Linked DNA regions of Danio rerio. The protein of the gene in region 1 interacts with the protein of each later gene in a biochemical or structural test. Links are inferred from orthologs where the notes say so. Each region holds a gene or a part of one and is shown in the gene's direction. Other genes may lie near its edges.

What was found.
Region 2: the proteins of uba1 (region 1) and ube2j1 form a complex in vitro, tested with the Homo sapiens proteins (2 studies listed by BioGRID, with this or other methods). The link is inferred for Danio rerio from reciprocal best matches to the Homo sapiens genes UBA1 and UBE2J1.
Region 3: of the proteins of uba1 (region 1) and ube2kb, one has a biochemical effect on the other in vitro, tested with the Homo sapiens proteins (9 studies listed by BioGRID, with this or other methods). The link is inferred for Danio rerio from reciprocal best matches to the Homo sapiens genes UBA1 and UBE2K.

The regions. Positions count from the first base shown.
Region 1 is NC_133198.1:23,543,943-23,548,270, forward strand, and holds the start of uba1 (ubiquitin-like modifier-activating enzyme 1), read left to right. Parts: upstream 1-1,505; 5' UTR 1,506-1,721; intron 1,722-4,328. UniProt on the Homo sapiens protein: Catalyzes the first step in ubiquitin conjugation to mark cellular proteins for degradation through the ubiquitin-proteasome system.
Region 2 is NC_133195.1:1,235,012-1,239,094, reverse strand, and holds the start of ube2j1 (ubiquitin-conjugating enzyme E2 J1), read left to right. Parts: upstream 1-1,229; 5' UTR 1,230-1,410; coding exon 1,411-1,441; intron 1,442-2,787; coding exon 2,788-2,861; intron 2,862-4,083. UniProt on the Homo sapiens protein: Catalyzes the covalent attachment of ubiquitin to other proteins. Functions in the selective degradation of misfolded membrane proteins from the endoplasmic reticulum (ERAD) and is essential for cells to recover from ER stress.
Region 3 is NC_133176.1:24,896,337-24,900,445, forward strand, and holds the start of ube2kb (ubiquitin-conjugating enzyme E2Kb (UBC1 homolog, yeast)), read left to right. Parts: upstream 1-1,255; 5' UTR 1,256-1,708; coding exon 1,709-1,771; intron 1,772-2,423; coding exon 2,424-2,517; intron 2,518-2,613; coding exon 2,614-2,672; intron 2,673-4,109. UniProt on the Homo sapiens protein: Accepts ubiquitin from the E1 complex and catalyzes its covalent attachment to other proteins. In vitro, in the presence or in the absence of BRCA1-BARD1 E3 ubiquitin-protein ligase complex, catalyzes the synthesis of 'Lys-48'-linked polyubiquitin chains.

The DNA.
Region 1 (4,328 bases):
ATAACCACCGGGTGTCGCTATTACATGCATTCAATTAAGCAGCAGTTCTTGTTATGATCTATCTATCTATCTATCTATCTATCTATCTATCTATCTATCTATCTATCTATCTATCTATCTATCTATGTCTGTCTGTCTGTCTATCTATCTATATACACACAGTTGAAGTCTGAATTATTAGCCACTCTTTGATTTATTTCTTCTTTTTTAAATATTTCCCAAATGATGTTTAACAGAGCAAGGACATTTTCAAAGTATGTCTGATAATATTTTTTTCTTCTGGAGAAAGACTTATTTGTTGTATTTCGGCTAGAATAAAAGCGGTTTTAATTTTTTTATGAACCATTTCATAAAGGTCAAAATTATTAGCCCCTTAAGTCTTCAGAACAAACCATTGTAATAAAATAACTTGCCTAATTACCTTAACTTGTAACTTGATTAACCTAGTTAAGCCTTTAAATGTCACTTTAAGCTGTATAGAAGTGTCTTAAAAATATCTAGTCAAATATTATTTACTGTCATCATGGCAAAGATAAAATAAATCAGTTATTAGAAATGAGTTACTAAAACTAATATGTTTAGAAATGTGTGGAAAAAAATCTTCTCTCCGTTAAACAGAAATTGGGGAAAAAATAAACGGGGGCTAACAATTCTGCCTTCAACTGTATATATATATATATATATATATATATATATATATATATATATATATATATATATATATATATATATATATATATATATATATATATATATATATGCGTGTCTGTGTGATGTGTGTAAAATTTGGCCCGCGACAACGTTGTTTTCTTTGCATCTGGCCCTCGGCCCAAAAAGTTTGGACACCCCTGTCTTAAGTAGTCAGCTTCTTCTGAACTATTAATATTTCCAGAAATCCTTTTGTAAGCTTTGAAAAGGAATCACAACGACAAAGCTGTGCGTTTTGCTGCTATTGATGCTCATTCAAATTGAAACAATTGAATGTGTAACTTTTCCTATTAATTTGATAGTCATTTCAAATTATAAAGTGAATGCAAAGCGCTGAGAACATTTTTAATTAATTTGTACAGTACGTAATTTTCCTTAGGCGTTCATATAAATTCACCTTAAAAACTTGCTGTTGATGATGAAACTTGTTTTTGTTGTTGATGATGACGATAAAATTCCATGTTCTTCCCAAAAGCAAATTGACGCACATTTCATACACTAAAAACTACTTTTCCCATGGTGGATAGCGCGACCCAAGCTTAGGGCGCGTCTATTGTATAGGTCGATAGGGGATATCAGTGTCGAAATAACGTTTTCGACAAGTTCTGTGAACGGTTTTCATCATTACACATCATTACATGCTACTAAATATATATATAAAACATTACCATCCGGTAATGTATTGCGTTAAAGCATCTGACTTCTCAAATACATACACGCGTTTGTGTTATTCCCCTGTATCTTGAATAGTGGCACAGTCTCAACTCAAACTCTGCACATGTTGGTTCTACGCTCATGAACTGAAGAATACTTGCCGAACTGTTAACGGTACAGGGAATAGCCGGTCAGGCAACCGTCCAGCCTCCCCTCACACTGGAAAGTCACGGAGCTCCCGCCACTTCCAGGGATAAAGTTACAGAAACGGTTTGATTTGACCTTTTTGTTGTTTATCTTTTGCCCGCGAGGTATTTCTGTATTCAGTACCGTGGAGAGGCCAAGTAATATCGGATGTGGTGAGTTCTGCATACTTATGTACCTAGCTAATGCTAACTAGCTAACGTGTCCACAAGAACAGTGTCACTGTTAGCTAAAGTCAAGTTTTTACCGCTCAAGTCAGATAGCCAGGCGCAACAATTTGCCTGTAAATATCATCTGGCCACTTTAGGAAGAGCCAGCTAACGGCATGCGCGAGACAATGCGCTCCATGCGCGCATCACGAGCCGGGGATAAAAGAAACCAACTCATCCTTGCGGAAAAGTTGGCCACTTCTCCCGTCATATGGTTTGGGTTATTTTTCATCCTTCCTTCATGATTTGCACGAAGGTTGCGCTAAGCTAACAAGCTTCGTTTTTGGCAAGCTAACATAACGTACTCCTAGAACGCTAGCCTAGATAGATAGCAAGATAATCTGAGTGCCCGCATATCTGCACAAATCCCAGTCTTAAAACTATCTCAAGATTCACGCTAGGAAAAAATGCATCAAATGCCGAATCCAACTCGTGGGGGTGTGAGGTACCCGGTTATTGTTTTGCCTCTCCGGTTAGATCACTGATCACTCAACCTGTTTATGTAACCCTCTCCATTGTTAGCATCGATTTGCTATACTGCGAACTCCAGCGTTTTAAAATCCCACGATTGCCTCTATAGTAAGCGTGCAATTGCTGTCTATAACTCATCTTATGAATGTGTTTTGCAGCGAGCTAAGTGGCTCACGCGGTTTTTGACTCTCAAGTGCAGGTGCGCGAGCGGCAGAATGATGCGATGCGTTGGGGGTTGTTGACAGGATTTGTACCTGCTGTACAGGTAACTCTGACAAGGTACATTTGCTTCTTATGTGCACCATATGCGAGAATAAGCGGCCCACTTGGGCCTTTGTCACAAGTACCACCCCATCCCCCAACGCTTATTGCTCTCAATTCCAAGAAAGCCCATGCCTAACCCCTCATTTTAGCGGTCATTGCTTTGAAAAGGCACTGTTTCCTATGGGTTGTGGGTTTAGAGGAGGTAAACTGCTCTTTGCAAAACAATAAGGGATATTCTTTTGAGTTTATGAATGTATAATTACATTAAGGTGCATTTAAACTTCGCAGAGATGTGTGTATTCGGGCTATTTTGCAGGGTATTATTCTATGGTTATTTCTTATGGCTTAATATTGTGCTCTTATTATCCCCATCCGTGTGGGTGAAATATTTTGCCCACGTGGTTTGTCAGTTATGTCTGCTCCTTGGTAAAATATTTGTGACCTACTTAATAGAGCCAGCTGTCAACAGGCAGGTTGCATGTCTTTGTTTATGTAAGATGGAGTGAATAATGCAAGATTTTCTTCACTGTTTGGGTACTTGACTAGTAAAACAGTTTAGGTTATCAAGTAGGCATTTTTTGGATCATGCGTCAGCCATTAATAAATTATCCTGCACATTTTCATTATTTATAATTGCAAAAAGGTTTTTGCATCATATAACACACCATAATAATCACCAAAATGTTGCTGTTAAAAATGGCTGGAATGTAGTTTGCATTAGCATGCAGAATAATTTAGACTTTTTTATTATTTTAAAAAATATATAAGTATTTTCCTGAAGGATAAAGTATGTTTACATGGACACCAGTAATCCGATTTTAATGCGATTAAGACAATACTCCGATTAAAAGTCTACCTTGTAAACAGTGATTTTTGATTAGTATAATCTGACTAAAGTCATAATCGAACTAAACCTAATTCAAATTAAGACCTGTGGAGTATGCCAATTTTAGTCGAATTATTGAAGTGCAGTACACACATGTAAACACTGTAATCAAGCTATTACCGACATGTAGGACTTTGCTGCATTTTAAAACAGGATAGTCTACATACACACAGCTGTTTGACAGTATTCTCTGCACCTGCCAAGTCAGTGGAGGACCACAGACACACTGCGAAATGCAGAGGCTTTTTTCCTCATACGGCACGCTGTATCAAATTTCAATAAAAAACACTTTTGGCAGTTCATACTTGCACCCAATATCTTGTATATCACAGGGGGCATGCATGAAATGTTCCCAAGTGAAAGTGCCAAAATGCAGGTAAAGTTGAGAAATTAAAAATGAAACACCTGAAATTACATGAAACTCTAGATAAAGTGTTTACAGGGTGGTGACGCTGTGACGTTAATCGAATTATGTGCTACAACATCTAAAACAGGATGAAAGGAGCATTTAAAAAGCAACTCATGTAAACACCCTAATCATATTATTGTCTTATTCAGATTAAGGCAAATGATTTGATTATGTCCATGTAACGTAGTCATTGATACTCACTGGGAGACATATATGACAATACCCTTAATATACAAAACAAGTTTTTCAGTATGTGTTAAAAAAAAGTCCATCCACAATCAGATTATAAATGCACTGATGTGTGTGTGTGTGTGTGTGTGTGTGTGTGTATATATATATATATATATATATATATATATATATATATATATATATATATATATATATATATATATATATATATATATATATATAGCATAATACCTGCTTAGCTCTGCGGATTGGCAAAGACATTAACTCTTAAAGAATTTATTTCTCAGCAAAACCACTCAAACTGTTCATTCTATGTATTTTTTTCTGAACA
Region 2 (4,083 bases), on another chromosome or scaffold:
ACATAATTTATTTCACATTTATTATTATAACACTTAAACGGGTTGATCTGATTCTGTTGCATAAGCAGGGTTGACTTTAATTTTTCTTAAATCAAGAAACAGATTAAAGTTTGTTCATCCATTCGTGACTTCACAAAGCTTCTCTTGACAATTTCCCGTTTTATTCCTGCATATTTTATTATTTTTGTTTAGATTCTGTTTTTTCCCCCTTTGTGTTCGCAGGCATACATATCCTGTAACTATAACACGAAATAGCTTTAATGTAAAAATGTAATCTTTAATATTTGTCGGCTCTATGCACAGCTAGTGCCAATGATGAACTTCCTGTGAGATCTTTATGTGACTATTTTCAATTTCATAAGGTTCCTTTTACAGCCTTGATGTTGTAATGTAATTAAAATGCATTCAGTTCAATAGACTAAAGCATTAATTTAGTTGTTAAACCGTAAAAAGAGACGAAAGACAGTTTAAACGCAGGCACCATCATTACCCGCAGGCGAGCGCAGAAACTCCATTGAAAATACTGAGGTAAAATTAATTTCCATATTTTAAAGACATGGCAGGGGGAAATATAACTTAATGCAGTGCTTCTTGCTTGGACTGATACCCACTTTATATCCTATCTTAGCCAGGCAGTGAAGATCACTGATTTTTTTTAAAGAAATCAGATCTTATTTTGTATGGGATGACAATTAACCGGAAGCCCTGAGGCTGGCTGACTGAAAATAAAAGTCCGTGTGCATATACCCCACTAATATTTTTGGACTGATATTGAGTCTAAACCACATAGTGGAAGTATACAAAATCTAATAATGAGAAAATTTATAATAATGAACAATACATACAGCATTTATAACCATAGTTCAACATTTACTAACAATCCCATTCTTTTTAAAAAAAAATAACGTTATCCCTTCTACAAAACATTTCCGCCCCTACTCAATATTTCGTTTTAGTTAAAATATGTTTTTTATATATAATTTTTTATTGCTGTTTAGAAATATAGCAACATTTAAACATTTTACACAGGGCATACGTACAGCTAGTTGGAAGTACGTCAACCCGCATCAACATACTGAAATAAAAGTCTCAGTAACGTCCGGTTCACGGAGACTTTTAAAACATAAAATCATGACGTCAAATCTCACTGTTGTTCTTGTCAGGCGCATCAATAAAGCTTTCCGTTGTAAAATACAAGTTTACTTCCTGTTTTCATTTTTTCTTCATGTGACATCTGAGACATTTCATCTCGAAAGTGTGTAAAAACACACACACACACACCGCGCGCGCTGCCACGTCAGGGTTACAGCTCTAGATAAACACCTGGCAGAGCTCACACAACACACACTCGGCGGATAAACACACACTCACAGGAGCGCAGATCAGCCGAGCGCCGGATTATTGAGCATCATGGAGAGCAAATACAACCTGAAGAGTCCAGGTGAGTCAAACCTCTGATCTCTATCTCTCTCTCTCACACACACACACACACACTGCTGTCGCGAGCTATAAACCACACCATAACATCTGCACTCATCCATCCGTCCAGCCGGTCTTTTCACTGTGTCGAGCTAGCTAACGGTAGACTTACGTTACTAGCCGCAGTCACAGGTGTGTGTGCGTGTGTGTGTGTGTGTAATGAATATTAGTTTGTAATAAATGATTGATTGTGTGCGTGTTTGTAATTTATGTGTGTTTTTAATGTGTGTCTTTGTAGTGTGTTTGTGTGTGTGTCTTTTTATTTTGTGTGCTAGTAGTGTGTGTGTGTGTGTGTGTGTGTGTGTGTGTGTGTGTGTTTGTAGTGTATGCTTGTCATTTTGATGCATGTGTCTTTTCCGTGTGTGTGTGTGTTTGTGTCTTTTTCATGTGTGTGAGTGTGTGTGTTTGTAGTGTGTGTGTGTGTGTGTGTGTGTGTGTCTTTGTAATGTGTGTGTATGTAATGCATTTGTATGTGTAGTGTGTGTGTGTGTGTGTTTAAATGAGTGTATGTATTGAGTGAGTGTGTTTGTGTGTGTCTTTATAATGTGTGTCTGAGTGTAATGTGTGTGTGTGTGTGTGTTTAAATGAGTGCTTGTAATGATTGGGTGTGTTTGTAATGGGGTTGTGTTTAATGAATGTGTGTGTGCGTGTGTGTCTTTGTAATGTGTGTCTTTGTAATGTGTGTCTGAGTGTATATAATGTGTGTGTGTGTGTGTGTGTTTAATAAATGTGTGTGTTTGTAGTTAACTATTTATGTGCTGTAGGTAAATGGTGTGTTTCAATTCTGCCACCACCGCAAGTAAATTTCCAACCTGTGTTGAGCATTGCATTCAGATGCACTCATCCACCATTACATGGACTACAAGTTCCAGTCATGCACCACACACACACACCTGCTCAAAGTCTGAAGCTGCTCTTGTACTGATTATACCACACACACGTCTGTCTCGCCTTGACACGTTCACTCTCATGGCTGAGTCTTGTTATGCTGAATTGGGAACATCACGACGTGGTTTCCTTGCCTTCCGTGTCTGACCTTTGCTTTGTTTTGTTTGTTTTACGTTGTTTGCTGCCTGCCTTTTGACCATCCGCCTGTTATATGAGCATGACTCTGGATCTGCCTGTATACATCTGTTTGCCCTTGTGTTGATCGTTGCTTGCCTGACCATTCTCTGTTCAATAAACCCTGCTTTTGTTAAACTAGGCAAATTTTCAAATTTAGTAAACTAATAATACTGTGTGTGTGTGTGTGTGTGTGTGTGTGTGTGTGTGTGTGTGTGTGTGTGTGTGTGTGTGTGTGTGTGTTAGCTGTGAAGAGGCTGATGAAGGAGGCGGCAGAGCTTCGTGACCCCACAGAACATTATCACGCTCAGCCACTGGAGGTGAGACTTTATTATTTATAGGAATTGAATTTCTGGGAGTTTCTTCATGCGTTATCATCTGTTTTAGTGTGTAACTTTATGTGAAACGTGTGTTTTCTGTAGCGCTGTTTGTGTCTTGCTTGTTTGACGTTTTAATAACAGAAGTTACAGAATGTTTAATTCTGTAAATGTTCAGAAGAAACAATGAATATTAGACTGACAATTAGTATTATTCATTGTTGTTCGTATTATAAATGTTAAACGTTTTAAATGCATCTTGTTATTTAAATGGAGTTATTTATATTTAATTTATTAAATTGTTCATAAATTTGAATTGATCCGAATTTGAAGTCAATCAAGTTGATCAATTCTATTGAAATAATTATGATTTATCGTGTAACTATGAACTGTCAAGAACTGTTAAAATGCTAAAACATTGAATATTCGACTATGAAAATTAGTATTATTTTTTGCGATTATTATGTTTGATGTTGAATATTATAAACGTAACTAGTTGTTATGTAAATGTAAACAGTTATTAGTTATATTTAATTGACTGAATTGTTACATCAATTTTTTTATAATTATTATGATCTTTTAAAAGTTTGATGTCAATCAAAAATCTGAAGTTGATAATAAATTATATTTAATTAGGATTCATTTTGTAACTTCTATTATTAAAACGCTAAATCAGTCAACATTAAACTATAAAAATGTGTATTTGTTGTGTTATTAAATGTAAGTTTTTAATGCACAAAATGCAGTTAAAATGCAAAACAACAGTTGTAATTTATATTTTATTCATTAACTTGTTACATAAATACTTTTATCATTTTATATAATTCATTATTCAAATAGACTTTAATTATTTCAAGATATTAAAAGCATTTTATTATTTTTTAAATAGCTTGATTATTCTTCAGACTTTTGAAGTGTACTGAATCTGGCTGAACCAGAAGTTGCTGAGACTTCAGTATGTTGATGTGCTTCCAACTGAAACGGAATATTGAGTAGGGGGTGGGGCTTTCCTTTTGTGCATCATTTCCTTGTAGCAAACTAACAGTAAGAGGGGCGTGGTTAGGAACATTAATATGCAGTTGCTATAGCAACCCTCAGGTTGGCATCAACAGAAAGACAACCACTCCAAACACAGAAGCAGATGCTCAGAGTTTGATTGAAGATTACCAAAACAAACCTTTTTTTTTTTACTCAAACTTTTAACTTACACTGATTAATTATTCAA
Region 3 (4,109 bases), on another chromosome or scaffold:
GAATAATGTGATGGCCAAATGTGGTCACACATACTTTGAAGTTGAATTACATTTTACCCATTCAAGGGAATACATAATCACCACAATGAGAAGTGAACACAAACACACACAGATACGAGATACAAACAACTGTCACACAAAGCTCCAAGAAGACTTTTGTGTACCAAACATCTGTCAGATTATGCCGCATGTTAAAACATTAACATGAAATGAAAAACATTTGTATGTTGATTGGGTTTCTGACTTTAAAGGCTGTAAATGTGTTGTGTTAGATGTCATGTAAAATATATTTTTTTTTTTCATTGTTTAGGTTTTTTTTCACATTTTTATTGGATAGTGGAAGTTGAGACAGGAATGTGTGGGGAGCAATCAGCAAAGAACATCAAGCTTAGACTGATTTAGGTCACCCCAAGCTCTTACTAGCTACTGACACTGAGCATATAAAATATCTCAATTTGTATTCCGAAGTTGAAGGTCCCAGGGAGTTGTAACAACACAAGGATGTTAAAGGTTAGTTCTACCAAAAATTCTGTTAGTAATTACTTATAACAGATTTTTTGGTAGAACTAACCCTTAAGGGCACCTCAGTCTCGGGTACTGAAAGTGGAAGAGAGCTCTGTTCATTCCCTGCCACACTGACAACTGGTATGCAACTTTTCAAGCATGGTTGATTTAACTTAATTTCAAATTGTTTATCAAATGAAAGGTGAAAAACGAAAAAAAGTTCTTATTAATAGATTTATATATATATATATATATATATATATATATATATATATATATATATATATATATATATATATATATATACACACACACACACACACACACACACACACACACACACACACACACACACACACATATATATATATATAGCATACAACACACCAAACAATTGTATTATTTTTAAACACTGTATTATTCACCATAGTGTAAACTTTTTATTTGTTAATTTTAATATATATGCTTTTTGCTGGCTGTATGTGGGCGGAGTAATACACAAAAGGTAAAGAGGCTGTACTGGTGCTGATATTACTTAAATATATCACGGCTATCAGCCAATCAGATTCGAGGACCTGACAGAACTGTTGTATATATATAAAAATAACTCAGATTTAGCATGGTATTATAATGGTGGTGAATACATATTGTATGCTACAAACGATTTATCTTCATGTTCCTGTTAGAATAATCAAAAAGGACCCATGTGATTTAATACTTGGTTTAAATAGTGTAGGCCTAAATTGTTTGCAAATTCAGTGAAAGGGGTGATGATGGACCGTATGCTCTGAACGCATCACGTGGGAGTAAAACAGATGCATCCGAGCTTTAGCAGCACGACATCATGTGACAGCACCACATCATATGGGAGTGAAACTAGATGTGAACGCATTCTGGATCTGTCAAGACTGAGCTCTGCTTTTCTGCTGCATAACACATCCACCTGATTCAACAAAGAAGGACAAACGCAGTGCTGTAGTGCAGTGTTTTAGTGTTCCAGGCTCTTATTTTGTTTACCGGTGCTTTTCTGGTGCTTTCCGTACTGTTTTAGGAGAGAGAGAGGGAGGGAGAGAGAGAGGGCGAAGGAGCGCAAGAGGGGTGTGAAAGTGAAGCTCTATCATTCTTTGCGGACTGGAGGCTCAAAAACAGCGGAAGAGAGAAGGAGAGAGAGAGAAAGAGTGAGAGAGAGAGGAATCAATCAGCCATGGCAAATATCGCTGTGCAGAGGATCAAGCGAGAGTTTAAAGAAGTGCTGAAAAGCGAAGAGGTTTGCAAAACGCTACTTTACTATATTTTCCTGCCCGTTAAGAACAAACAGAAGGACTTTTGGCGATGAACACACAAAACCCAATGAGCTAGCCTAGCATGCTAAGCTAATGTTAGCATGAGCTGTCATATGATGGACTTAAGATACGGAAGTCACACTTCTGACAAATTTGCTTCTCTCGATGTAATAAAACGAAAACATAGACCTAAATGTTTAATTCATTCATGAACATGTCAGAGTATTGTTAAATTTGTGCTGGCACACATCGAGCTTAAGCCATGGAGCTATTTGACATAGTTAGCCGGCTAGCTTCACCAACACTTCTATAGTCTGCAATAACAGCACTCGCACTCAGTGTTTTAAGGTTGGTTTTCTGTTTTGAAATGCCCATTAGTGGTTTACTGATCGTGTTCCTACGTTTTTGTGTGTGTTGGTGTCAGTTAACAGGGCAGCTAGGATGTTCTTTTTTTAAGTAATGCAGCACCTTTGACAGACAGCATTTTTGGGAATCATAGACTCATATCATACTGTCTTTTAAGGGTGCTTATTATGTTCAGAAGACAGCTTCATAACTTGACTATACCGGTTGTTTCTTTGTTCAAGCAACTATGGTACTCCTTACTAAATACATTTTTGTTTTGCTTTTTAACAGACGAGTAAAAATCAAATAAAAGTAGATCTGGTGGATGAAAACTTCACAGAGTTAAAGGGAGAAATAGCAGGACCGCCAGACACACCATATGAAGGTAATGAGAGCCTTTACATGATGTTTCTTTAATGTTTGCTTGGAGATTAATGCTGGAGATAAGATTATAACAGGCTAACGTTTTTTTTTCTCACAGGGGGAAGATATCAACTAGAAATCAAGATCCCTGAGACGTATCCATTTAATCCACCCAAGGTAATTCAACAAGTATTCTTTCTGCTGTTTTTACATATAATATTGCCAAAATATTTTACATAGACATACTATTAAGAAAAAGGAATGTTATTAATATAAAAATAAGTAGATAATAGTGTAACATGGAATTAAAATAACACGATGAATGAATGAAAGGGGATACAAATGTTATTTATCCAAAATAAATATAAAAATATATTTTTTTATTTTGCGATATATATATATATATATATATATATATATATATATATATATATATTGCAATATGAATACAATTTTATCAATGACTTAATAACTCAATTTTTAATCTTAGATCAACTGGAATGACTCTGCAGTGGGAGTGCATCTCTATAAAATCTAAAATTAATAAATAAATAAACAATTGTTGTGATCTTTGCTATTTGCAGTGCATTTCTGTATTTGCATATGTTGTGAGTATTTTCATACATGACAATCTGTAAATGCAGTCAAGACAAAGATGTTATTCAAATAAAGGGGTTTGTTGTTTCCCAGGTCTAACAGTATTTAAGTACAGTAACTGAATGATAAAAATAAAAACCATTCAATAAGGTCACAAATAGTTCAAGTTCTTATACCCAAATGCTTTTAAAAACATTAAACAATCACAGGCGTCAAAAACATATGCACATGATGAACTATAATACAAACTCATCATTGCCTATCATGCGATGTGACTATTGCAAATGATCACATTGCGAAATCGATGCTAAAGCGATATATTGTGCAGCCCTATTATGAAGTTAAAAGTTCCATAACATTTGCATCTGGATGATCTTTGTTTATATTCATTAAGGCAGTAGTGGGTTAGTAATGTTCAGTAATCGACTGTACTGCTGTAATTTAGTTGTCTGGATTTGATTAGCATGCAAAGCCTTTTAAAGACATCGGGTTAAAGAGTTTAAGTATTTCACTTAAGTTCAATATTGATTCACATTTAGAATTAAGAGAGAAAGCTAAAAGTAATACTTTGTGAACTAACCAAACTAGACATGAGAAGAAGGATCACATGAACAACTGTTAAAGTGTTCAAGTAAATCTCTCTTCTCTTTGTCTTTAAGTCTAGAGGGGTCATTGCTAGTTTGGAGGAAAAAAAATAAAATAAAAAAAAAAAAGATCCAGATTTTATATTATTGACATTGATTATTTTTTTCCTTTGCGCCAGGCTATGATTAGTCAGAGGATATCAGACATGTTTGAAATTTTAAACAGATTTTAGAACATATACATTATCATTTGTCTTCAAGTAATGATATGAATGTTTCGTCTGCTGTTTATTATGTTCCAAATAAAATGAAAGTTTATTAACGTGTAATTCTCAGTCGTTTGATCTGCAATGCCCCAACAATTGATTAATAAACCAGTAAGTAACAGTTAAAAAAAAAGTTGCAGCTGAACCTAATCTTGCACTTACTCTTG